Drosophila melanogaster: one gene and its partners. The protein of the gene in region 1 interacts with the protein of each later gene in a pairwise test. Each region holds a gene or a part of one and is shown in the gene's direction. Other genes may lie near its edges. The genes, in order: FoxL1, Usp20-33 and bab1.

What was found.
Region 2: the proteins of FoxL1 (region 1) and Usp20-33 interact in a two-hybrid assay, tested with the Drosophila melanogaster proteins (one large-scale study listed by BioGRID).
Region 3: the proteins of FoxL1 (region 1) and bab1 interact in a two-hybrid assay, tested with the Drosophila melanogaster proteins (one large-scale study listed by BioGRID).

What each region holds. Positions count from the first base shown.
Region 1 is NT_037436.4:4,016,756-4,020,510, forward strand, and holds the start of FoxL1 (forkhead box L1), read left to right. Parts: upstream 1-2,122; 5' UTR 2,123-2,338; coding exon 2,339-2,709; intron 2,710-3,641; coding exon 3,642-3,755. UniProt on the Drosophila melanogaster protein: Transcription factor. Coordinates the placement and migration of various organs during embryogenesis, including the salivary glands, hemocytes, germ cells and Malpighian tubules.
Region 2 is NT_033778.4:14,237,852-14,241,606, forward strand, and holds the start of Usp20-33 (ubiquitin specific protease 20/33), read left to right. Parts: upstream 1-2,080; 5' UTR 2,081-2,178; coding exon 2,179-2,262; intron 2,263-2,359; coding exon 2,360-2,726; intron 2,727-2,783; coding exon 2,784-3,576; intron 3,577-3,635; coding exon 3,636-3,755. Other genes in the region: Snrk (SNF related kinase), read right to left, coding at 1-31, 97-463, 525-700, 779-997, 1,065-1,270.
Region 3 is NT_037436.4:1,099,047-1,102,801, reverse strand, and holds the start of bab1 (bric a brac 1), read left to right. Parts: upstream 1-1,712; 5' UTR 1,713-2,165; coding exon 2,166-3,701; intron 3,702-3,755. UniProt on the Drosophila melanogaster protein: Probably acts as a transcriptional regulator. Required for the specification of the tarsal segment. Also involved in antenna development.

The sequences.
Region 1 (3,755 bases):
TGCTGATCGATGATTTGTTGTCTTTGATCTCGGGAGCAAGCCACAGTGGTGTCGAGTGATTAAATCAAATTTTGACAAGGTGTCGACTGGCGGCACTCCGAGTGTATTTGCCGCAAAGTGTGCCTGAAGTTGAAAATCTTACAGTGGAGCTTCATAAACAGGCACTGTACGGGGAGTACCCAAGTACCTAAGTTTGGCTAACAATCTTAACACAGCGGATTTGAAGTAACTAAACTTTGAGTATCTTAACATGCAAAAGAGTCGAGCGATGTAACATGTCGCTTTCTCTCGAGGCTCTACTGTAATGTATCTCAGCTAAATGCAAGCAGTTCACAGCATAAATCAAGCGATGACAACGTGAACAACAACACCGGTAGTCACGCACTAAACTATAACTATAACTACGCGATTACACACAGCGATTAAGTTGCGGTTGGGGAGCTGCGCTGCGACTAAATAAACAGGATCCGAGGCGTTTTATGGCTTAGTGCGAGGGATATGTCAAAAAAGATGCGGTGAAATGCATAGGAAAACATAGTTTCACAACGAAAAACATCGATCGGTGTTCGAAGACGAAATCAGACCAAACCGAGCTGGGCCATAAAAAACAATATTTGTTTCCAATACTATTCCCAGCATAGGTCTAAAAATAAGCAAGCTAAACACGCAGGGCAGCGACATCTTCGAGAGAATCGGAGGACCATGGGCCATAGGATAACCCATTGTTTTATGACCCATTCTCACCAGCGGTAAGCGATCGTAAAATTTGAATAAATCGGGAGAGAGCGTGAAGAATCCTTTGTGGCATTGGCATCATCCACACATGTGAACTTCAATTGCTTCGGGCATTTTGGATTTTCAGTTCTTCGATTTGCGTTCAATGTTTTTATTTCTTTCAAATGATCTCTGCTTTCTACTTGAGAACGGAACGATCGTAAAAATCGAGCGTAGTCCTGTTTGAAATGTATACACAATTGTTTTACGACCTTTTAAGATATAGACCAAGACTTTCGGTTGCATTCGGAAAATTGCGTACTTGACTGCCGCGAGTTTACTCTCGCTTTCCTTCGTTCGCTCGGAAAAGTCGTAAAAATCGGAAGGCAACTGCCACGAGATAGCATGGGATGTCAAGGGACCAGATAATGCCGACTTCTGGCATTATCTTGCCAGCTGCTATCCGGTGGAATGTATAAACGGAGTGCTTCTTGGAATCGCTTTATTTAAATAATGTTTACAAACCAATTGAACTGACGAGTTATCAAAGCTCTTTAGTGAGTGCTATCAAGAGATTTGAAAGTTATAAAATGATTAAACATCTAAATGAACTTTTTCAAGCCAGAAAAAGGCTAAATTAGTGACTAACTCACGCAATGATTACATACATACATATGTAACCTATCATAATACTGCAGTATAATCTTTTTTAATAACTGGGACTAACGATGTACGCATGAGATCCTAGAAGCTTTACATTATTTCCAAAGATTTAAAAATTCCCTTTCAAGTGCCCGTAATTCAAGTGTAAACTTTGCTCGATTTTCATTTGTTGAAAAATCAAAATCTACATATTATTCAAAACACACTGGGACTCTCCCACACTCACTCACACATGGGGAAAAGGTCTTGACTCCGCCCATCGAGGAAAATACAGGCAAATGAGAATGGACATAAATAAACATGGAAAGAGTAGAGAACATATTTGTAGGAACGCCCCCTCAAAAGAGAGATCTGCCATATAACGGGTATATGCGAAAAAGATATAGTATAAGCAAGGATATTAATTAGTAATGATATAATCAATCTAAATCTAGTACTACAAAGTTAATAACTGAATACACTTAAATATTAACAACATCATCTTATTATATTATAACATAATAATCTCAAATATATTATACTTATTTCATATTTCAATTTATTCAATTTCTTCCTTAATAAAATTTAAATTTTTCAAGGAAAATTGTTTTCCCCTCTCTGAGAACTTACGCATGTGTGGATCTTTTGGTGAGGGTGTTTGCATATCCCTATATTTATAGACCAATGCGCTGCTCTCCCCCAAAAACACACACCCATAAGATTGGGATGAGGCATTACAAGTGATCTGCGTATCCGAGTTCATTCATTAGTCGATCGGACTTCTTGGCTGACGCAACACATGGTCCACAGTCGCGCTCGAATCGCCCACAAAATCGGAAGTAACAGCTAACCGGAAAACAGGACAAAAATCCTAAATATCTAACAAGTTAATGTGAAGTGATATTCGAAACAAAGTTCCCGAAAGATACATAAAGAGTATAAAAGAACTTTGAATCAAGTTACTGGGATTTCGTTTTGAAAAATGTTACCCTCTTGCTATGCCAATGGATCGATGCTGCCGGATAATGAGGAGCTGGTCAACTCCATGCTAGCGAATCCGGATTATCTCAGGACCCAGGTGTCACCCAATCCGCTGGCTCCAAGTGCCGTCGGAGGTGCGGGCATGGAGGGTCTGATGTGCGGATCGTTTTCACCGGCCTTCTACTACCAGGGCATCGATAGCTTTCTGGCCCTGCACAACAACATCTGGGGATTGCCTATATCCTTTCTGCACAACTCCCATCGACCGGAAAAGCCTCCTTTCTCCTACATTGCCCTCATCGCCATGGCCATCAGCAGTGCACCCAACCAGCGACTGACCCTCAGTGGAATCTACAAGTTTATCATGGATAAGTAAGTTAATTGAACAATACAAAAATACGAGATCTTTGATAGATCAATAAGTGAATTTAGTTTGTAAATCAGCAAATAAAATTTCCAATTTCTGTACATATATTCTACTAAAGCTCTTGTTTTTACAATCCTACAAAAATAAATGTTCCGCCTTGTCTTAAATCGAGGAAAATTTAGATGACATTCTTGGCTAAATCAAATGCCAAAATAAACAACCGCCACATTCCAAGTATCTGTACAAACCAAAGAAGTTTTTATCCCGAGAAGAAGTTTTTATCACGAAACTTTTGCCACAACTGGGATTAAGTCGGTGAAATATGGAGCATTAATCCAATTTCTTAATGTGAAAATATATAAATATCACGCAGATTACTTGGTAATTATCCATATGAAATGGTTTCATTTATTGGCTTAAATTTATTAGTCATATCTTTAACAAATATTAAAATATATATGTATATATTTCCTTTCCTGAATGAACAGAGTGCATAAAAAATGGCGGCCAGATATATAAAATAGATCGCAAGTAATTTGAAAAACAGGAAAATGAACAATGTGTTTGTAAACTAAATATTTCCGATTTCTTTATCAACATAAACAAATATTATTTTTATTGCTTTTTCAAATCGCTTGATTTAAACAAACCAGCGGAGGATATAGATATGGGCTAATAAGATGTGTATCAACAGCAAGTTTTTCAGATTGTAAAATGATTTTTATATATACAAATTCAGATATTCAAAGCTGTGAAATTCTGAAGTAAATAGTTTTGATAAACACGCATTCGATTTATATTTATAAAATATCTTTTCCATTGTTAATTTATTGAAAATAAAGTATATATGTTTACCCTTTCAAAATTTGATAAAAATGTCAAGGAAATATAGCTCCTAATTAATTAATTAATTGGATAATATCCAATTATTTTTTAGATTCCCATATTACAGGGAGAACAAGCAGGGCTGGCAGAACTCCATTCGCCACAATCTGTCCCTCAACGACTGCTTCGTGAAGATTCCGCGGGACAAGAACACAATCGAGGATAA
Region 2 (3,755 bases), on another chromosome or scaffold:
TATATGATTGTACTTATTTTTGTCAAGAGCTCTGTAATGACGTCACTTGGTGTTAGCAAGACAAAATTGATTTATTATTTGTGCTATTGTACTCACTGCAATATCTCTTCCTTGGACGCAATGTTTCCGTTTATCATTTTTTGTATGATAAAGGCGTGATCCTCTTCGCCCAGCTGTTCGCGACTGACCAAAGGCAGAAAGTGCTCTGAGGTGGAGGTCGTCGAATCGGGCTCATCGATGGGCTTTAGCCAAGCCGATGAAGCAATCTCTTCCACAGTGGCCCGTTTCTTTGGATCCCGCACCAGCATTGAGGCAATCAGGTCCCGACAATCAGTGGACACGTGCGAGGGTACCGTGTACTTACAATCCATGATCATGGTCAGAGTTTCCGAGTCGTTGGCCTTCTCGAAAGGCGCCTGACCGCAGACCAGCATATACAGAATTACTCCCAGGGACCAAATGTCTAAACAAATCAGATAAAATGATTAACAAAGGGTTATGGGACATATTAGTTGTCTACATACCAACTGCAGGCGCATCATAGGAGTCGCCCAGCAGGATCTCTGGGGCCGAGTAGGCCAAGCTGCCGCAGAAGGTTTCTAGCTTTTGGCCCGGCAAGAACTTGTTGCTAAACCCGAAGTCGGTGAGCTTGACAAGGCCCAGCTTTTCGAAAAACACCACGTTCTCCGGCTTTAGATCCCTTTGTAGGAGAATTGAATGTTACGTAAATCAGTGATCGGCACAATACGCCGTACTATCAGTTAGAGCGCGCTCTCACCTGTGAACCACGTGAAGCTGATGACAGTACGTGATAGCACGTAGGATTTGGCGGAAATACTTTCGGGCCAGTTCCTCGCTGAGCCCAGAGTCGTGCTTCATTATGTAATCGTATAGATCGCCACCATCGCCAAGCTCCAAAACCAAATACAGCTTGGTCTGGGTATCAATAACCTCGTACAGTCGCACAACATTTGGGTGCTGCACCAGTTTCATGCATCTGGAGTTTATAAGTGCAGCGGGATTATTGAAAAAAAAATTGTGGATTGATTGTTATAGCTACTCACCGCACTTCCTGGAACAGATGCGCCTTGGACACATCGTCCAACTTGGTTTTGTCCACTACCTTGACCGCCACCTTGGCACCGGTGAACACATGCCGGGCCAACTTCACGACGGCAAAGTGTCCGGATCCCAGTGTCTCCTCCAGATCATAAAGACCAGCGATCTTGCCGTCGCTCACCCCGCCAACGGGCTGCGTCTCCAGCGTCATGATGGCTCCTTGGCACTCTTCCAACGGCCTGCGTGTTGGCCAGGCACAACTATCCGCGATTAGCTAAAACTATAATTATAGAGTTCTATTATTTCGTACACGGGATGTTTCGCTGGCAAAATACTGCTTCATGAACTTATTGATGTAATAGCTAGCGGCCTGAATGACGCTGAGCAGTAGCCCATCCCACAGGGGCACTTGCACACTCATCGCCTGCTCCCAATTAATGATTCATTTGAATGAGTCCTTTTTACATTCGATTCCCAACAGGAGCATCGCAAAAGCAGGGCTGTTACACAAGGGAATGCGGAAAGGCAGGGCCGTTTTACCTTGTACAGCGGAGGGGGTAGTCGAATCTCCGCCAGCAGATGCAGAAAAAACTATGAGGCATCACCCATTCCGGTTTGGGTACGACTAAACCAGGCCTGTCACTGGCCGCTCGAACGTCTAGCAGTAAACTCTTGGCCCTTATCACTCATGAAAACGCTTAGTTACACTTTTTGTATACACATTTTCGACTATTTTCTGCGTTTTTTTTTCCCGAGTTTCAAATAAGTGTGGCCGAAGGTCTTACAGTGGGGATGGCACGCCAGCGATGCTCTTAACCAGAAGTATCGTATTGGAAAAAATTATGATGTATGTTTAAATTATTTATACTTATAAATTTTAATTGGTTTGGTCTAAATTTTAAAATTTATTCTAAGTCGATACTCATACGCGTTCTAAATCATCTAAATATTAGACGAATAATATCCGCTTGACTCCCGGTTTTTTGCTTCGGTCACACTGACGGACAATACCAAAAACACCATCCGAAATCGCAAACGCCTTTTCTGCGGTCGTTTCCAATCAAAATTCTCAATTAAAATATAAAAAAAAAACAAAATACTGGCAGCTAGGGAACTATAATGAGTTTGAGTTCCAACCCAAATCCGCACAATCCATATGTAGAGCACCGCAACCGCACCATACACAGCAGCCAGGGCCACACGGTAAGGTGTGGGGGAGAATTCCGCTCCAGGCGAACTGTCGCATTTGTAGGCATTGTTTAATGCTCGATTACATGACTTTCGATTTTTTCTCGGTCAGCTGGCGAACGGGTATGCCATGGGTGATCCAAGGAGCAGCCGATGTCACGACAAACTCTTCAGCGGATCGCTAAAATCGCTTGCACGGCGCGAGGACTCGAACGCCAGTGACAGTGAGGGCACAGACACAGCAAAGGGCTCGGGCACGGGACTCGTGGGCCTGCAGAACATTGCGAATACCTGCTATATGAACTCGGCACTACAGGCACTGAGTAATTTGCCGCCGATGACACACTACTTTATCAACTGCAGCGACCTTGTGGAGTACATAGCAGAGCAGAGCGCACGTCGCTGCAAGCCCGGCGGGCTGGCCAAGAGTTATCGTCGCTTGATGCAGGAAATCTGGCAGGATGTCGATGATCCCAAAGGTTCAGCCTTTCACCCTCTCTTAATCGGAAAACCTACTAAAGTTTGAGATTTTACAGAGTTTATTGCCCCGCGTGGTATTCTGTATGGCATTCGCACGGTTCATCCCATGTTTCGGGGCTATCAGCAACACGATACCCAGGAGTTCTTGCGGTGCTTCATGGACCAGCTGCACGAGGAGCTGACAGAGCAGGTCTCAATGCTGCCGCAGACGCAGAATCAGCCGCAATACCAGTCACTTCAGCAGCAGCAGCCCAGCGAAACGGATGACGAAAACGATGATGAGGCAGCGCCTGCGTCCTTGTCACATGCATCCGAAAGCGAATACGACACCTGTGAAAGCAGCATGTCGGAGCGATCGGCAGAGGTGTTGCTAAAGACAGAGTACTTTGTAACGCCCTGTCGGACAAATGGTTCCAACAGTGGGCTGCCAGAAGGCCATTCGGTGCAATTGCAGCAGGCACCGTTGCAGCATCAGCAAAAAAATGCCTCCTCCGCCGAACAGAAACCTATAGAAGCAGCGCGCTCAATAATCAGCGACGTGTTCGATGGCAAGCTTTTGTCCTCGGTGCAGTGCCTGACCTGCGATCGTGTGTCCACACGCGAGGAAACATTCCAGGATCTCTCGCTGCCCATTCCCAATCGTGATTTTCTGAACGTTCTTCATCAAACCCATAGCTTAAGCGTGCAAAGTTTGAATGCCGCTGAAACTTCCGCTAGGACCAACGAAGGCTGGCTGTCCTGGATGTGGAATATGCTGCGCTCCTGGATTTACGGACCCTCGGTGACGCTCTACGACTGCATGGCCAGTTTTTTCAGCGCGGATGAGTTGAAGGGAGACAACATGTACAGGTGAGAAGATCCTTTAGGATATATAGGCGTTTCAATCAATCAGTGTATGTACTTTTCAGCTGCGAGCGCTGCAACAAACTTCGGACGGGAATAAAGTACTCCCGCGTCCTCACCTTGCCAGAGGTTTTGTGTATCCACCTGAAGCGGTTTCGCAACGATCTTTCTTATAGTTCAAAAAT
Region 3 (3,755 bases), 2.9 Mb from region 1:
TTTTTTTATTTTATGTTTCGCATATTATAAATGCGCAAGGCAATAACAAAAATAATCATAAACACATACACGGAATCACCCACACAGAGGCAAAAAACCGAGGCTGACCAGTCTGAAACGATAGTGCCCCGCCCTCCGCCCCTTCGGCCACTCGGCACCCCCCCAAATGCCCATCACCACTACTCATGAAGAGAGCGAGAAAAACTAGTGGAAAACTGCAGGTGCAGCTGAAAGAAAGAGAAACGTCTCTTAGGCGAAAAGCGCCAGCCAACTCTCTCGCGAAAGAGAGAGAGCCAATTCGCCGCACATCTTGATTTCGCCTAAGCATTTGTTTACAATGCACGACTGGCAGCGACGTCGACTGCGAAGAGAGTTTTTCGTGATGGTTTTTCGAAGGGGGGGCTGTGTGGGGTACACCTCGAACGGAACTAATTAATGAAGCATCTTTCAGCCGAGTTTTGTTTCTCAGTCGGATGAGGTGGAATGCGTGAGGGAGAAAGAGTAATGGCTTGGGAAGAATAGAAAGAGAGAGGAATGTGCTTCGAAAGACCTAATGATCACTAATCTGCACTTCTCGCAAAATGCTCATACTACAAATGTTACAAGCAATTCATACATATGAATATCGATTTCCAATATTCTAAAAATAATTAAAATATTTTATTTAATAATTTTCAATTTTTTCAATTTTTTCACTTAAATTTAAGCTTTTAAAAGAACCCTAATAAGATATATAATATCCATCACCTAAATAATCGGCAAACTCAGCACTATTTTCGCCGCATTCCCAATTCCTGAAGACCACCTAGATGTGTTCCTCTATTTTGTGCCAGGGGTACTGGTCGATGGGGCTCGTCCACACCCTCTCCTGCCAAGCACCTCCGAAAAATATTAGGCCTAAGCTCGAATCCGCACTCGCACTCGCACTCACAATCGCAATCGCAATCGCAATCGCCGTCGCTCTCCGCTGCATTTTCGGGGCAACTTCCGTTTCCTCACGCACGCACACTTGCCACTTGCCACTTGCAGCGACGCATCCTTTTTACGCAACGGTAGTTGTGCGGCGGCAAAGCGCCAAAATTTTGGGGGTTGCAACGGCGAGAGGCCGAGAACGAGGACGAGGACGAGTTCGAGTGCGTCGAGCAGGCCGACGAAGGACGAAGGACGAAGGACGAGCGAAGCCGATTCCGATGTTGAGCTCGAGGAGAGCCAAAACGCAGCGCAGGAGCAAAGGAATGCGGTGCCGTTAGCCGGCGTTTTTTGGCGCCTACAGCTCGCCGTTTTCAGCCATTTTCAACGGGCTCGCCGCTGCTTCGGTCGTTGTCTCTGCCGTCGGTTCTCAGCCAAGCGGCGCTGCCTACGTCGCATTTTCCTTTCGCAGCGCCGGCAGAGCAGTTCGCGAACTATTCGCAACTTCGTCGCGAACTCAGTCGCAGCCTGAGAGCAACAACTACAAAGCAGTAGCAGTAGCAGTTGCTGCTGATGTTGCTGTTGCTGCCGCTTCTGCTGTTGCCGTTGCCGTTGCTGCAACATCAACGTTGCCCCTCAGCTTTCCACAGGCACAGGCACAGGCACTGCCACAGCCACAGCCACAGCCGCACATCCACATCCACATCCACGTCGTCGTGGGCCATCGTCGTCGTCGTGTGTTAAGTTTGTTTTGAGTTTTTCCGTATCAAAATGTGCAAAACGATTTCAGTCTAATTCAGACGCTCGTGCTGAGAAGACTTTTGGCCCTGTTTGTTGGCCAATACAGCCATAGAACACTGAAACCGAAACAGAAACAGAAACGGAACTGAAAGCACACACTGAATAACACTGGACACGACGACGAGAACCGAATCGAACTGAAAGAACGAGGCGGCGGGCTAATTGCCAAATGGCCACGTAGTGCGCGTAACGTAACGAATACGTTAAACACCCATACACACACGCCCAGACACACACACACACACACACACACACAGAGAGACAGAGGCACGCACACAGATACGCACATGTACATGCCCACTCTCAGTTGAGCGTCGTAATTGTCGCGGATTCTTTTGAATGCTTATTCCTTAAACGCTATGTGAAGAGCGAATCGCGTAACGAATAACGATCGCGTAACGTTTACGATCGCCGGTGATCCAACGATCAACGATCAACGATCAGCTGCAGACAAAATGGCGTCGGCGCAGGCGGAGACGAATGTCGGCTTGGCGTCCGAACAGGGACCAGTGGCTCAGAGGCAGCGCAAAGGGACGGGATCGGGCGCCGATTCGCCCAAGAGTAACAGAAGCTCGCCCACTCAGCAGGAGGAGAAGCGTATCAAAAGCGAGGATCGCACTTCACCAACTGGCGGGGCCAAGGACGAGGACAAGGAGAGTCAAGGTCATGCTGTAGCCGGAGGGGGAGGATCTTCGCCCGTCAGTTCGCCACAGGGCAGGAGTTCTTCGGTAGCCTCGCCCAGTTCCAGCTCCCAGCAATTCTGCCTGCGCTGGAACAACTATCAGACGAACCTGACCACCATCTTTGACCAGCTGCTCCAGAACGAGTGCTTCGTGGACGTGACCTTGGCATGCGATGGTCGGTCCATGAAGGCCCACAAGATGGTCCTGTCCGCCTGCTCGCCCTACTTCCAAACACTTCTGGCCGAAACGCCCTGCCAGCATCCCATTGTGATCATGCGGGACGTAAATTGGTCGGATCTCAAGGCCATTGTGGAGTTCATGTATCGCGGCGAGATCAACGTGAGCCAGGACCAGATAGGTCCTCTGCTCAGGATAGCTGAGATGTTGAAAGTGCGTGGTCTGGCGGATGTGACCCATATGGAGGCGGCCACGGCAGCAGCGGCTGCCGCTTCGTCGGAGAGAATGCCCTCCTCGCCCAAGGAGAGCACTTCAACTTCCAGAACTGAACACGACAGGGAACGGGAGGCCGAGGAGCTGCTGGCCTTCATGCAGCCCGAGAAGAAGCTACGCACTTCGGACTGGGATCCCGCTGAGCTGAGGCTCTCCCCACTGGAGCGGCAGCAGGGCAGGAATGTAAGAAAGCGCCGGTGGCCATCGGCGGACACAATATTCAATCCACCCGCACCACCCAGTCCACTGAGCAGCCTGATTGCGGCCGAAAGGATGGAGCTGGAGCAAAAGGAAAGAGAGAGACAGAGGGACTGTTCGCTGATGACACCCCCACCCAAACCACCAATGAGCAGTGGCTCCACAGTGGGAGCCACGAGGCGCCTGGAGACCGCCATCCACGCCCTGGACATGCCATCGCCGGCTGCCACGCCAGGACCTCTGTCCCGATCGTCGAGACCTCACTCGCAGAGCCCCCAGCAGCAGCAGGCACAGCAGCAGGGTCAGCTTCCTTTGCCCCTGCCCCTGCATCCGCACCATCACGCATCACCCGCCCCACATCCCTCCCAGACCGCCGGATCAGCCCACCACCCGGCATCGCCTGCTGGAGATTCCCGTTTTCCCCTCGGCCCAGCAGCCGCCATGGCCGCTGCCAGGGAACTGAGTGGCCTGGGACCAGGTCCGTCCGCCGAGCCACGCCTTCCGCCTCCACCGCCGCACCACCATGGCGGTGGTGGAGTGGGCGGCGGGGGAGTTGGAGGAGGAGGTGCAGGCGGAGTGGGTTCAGGCGGGGGATCCTCGCTCGCCGATGACTTGGAGATCAAGCCAGGGATCGCCGAGATGATCCGAGAGGAAGAAAGGGTGAGTGAATCTAAGCAACTTAAATTTCACGTTTATCTTTGTATTTCATCTTCC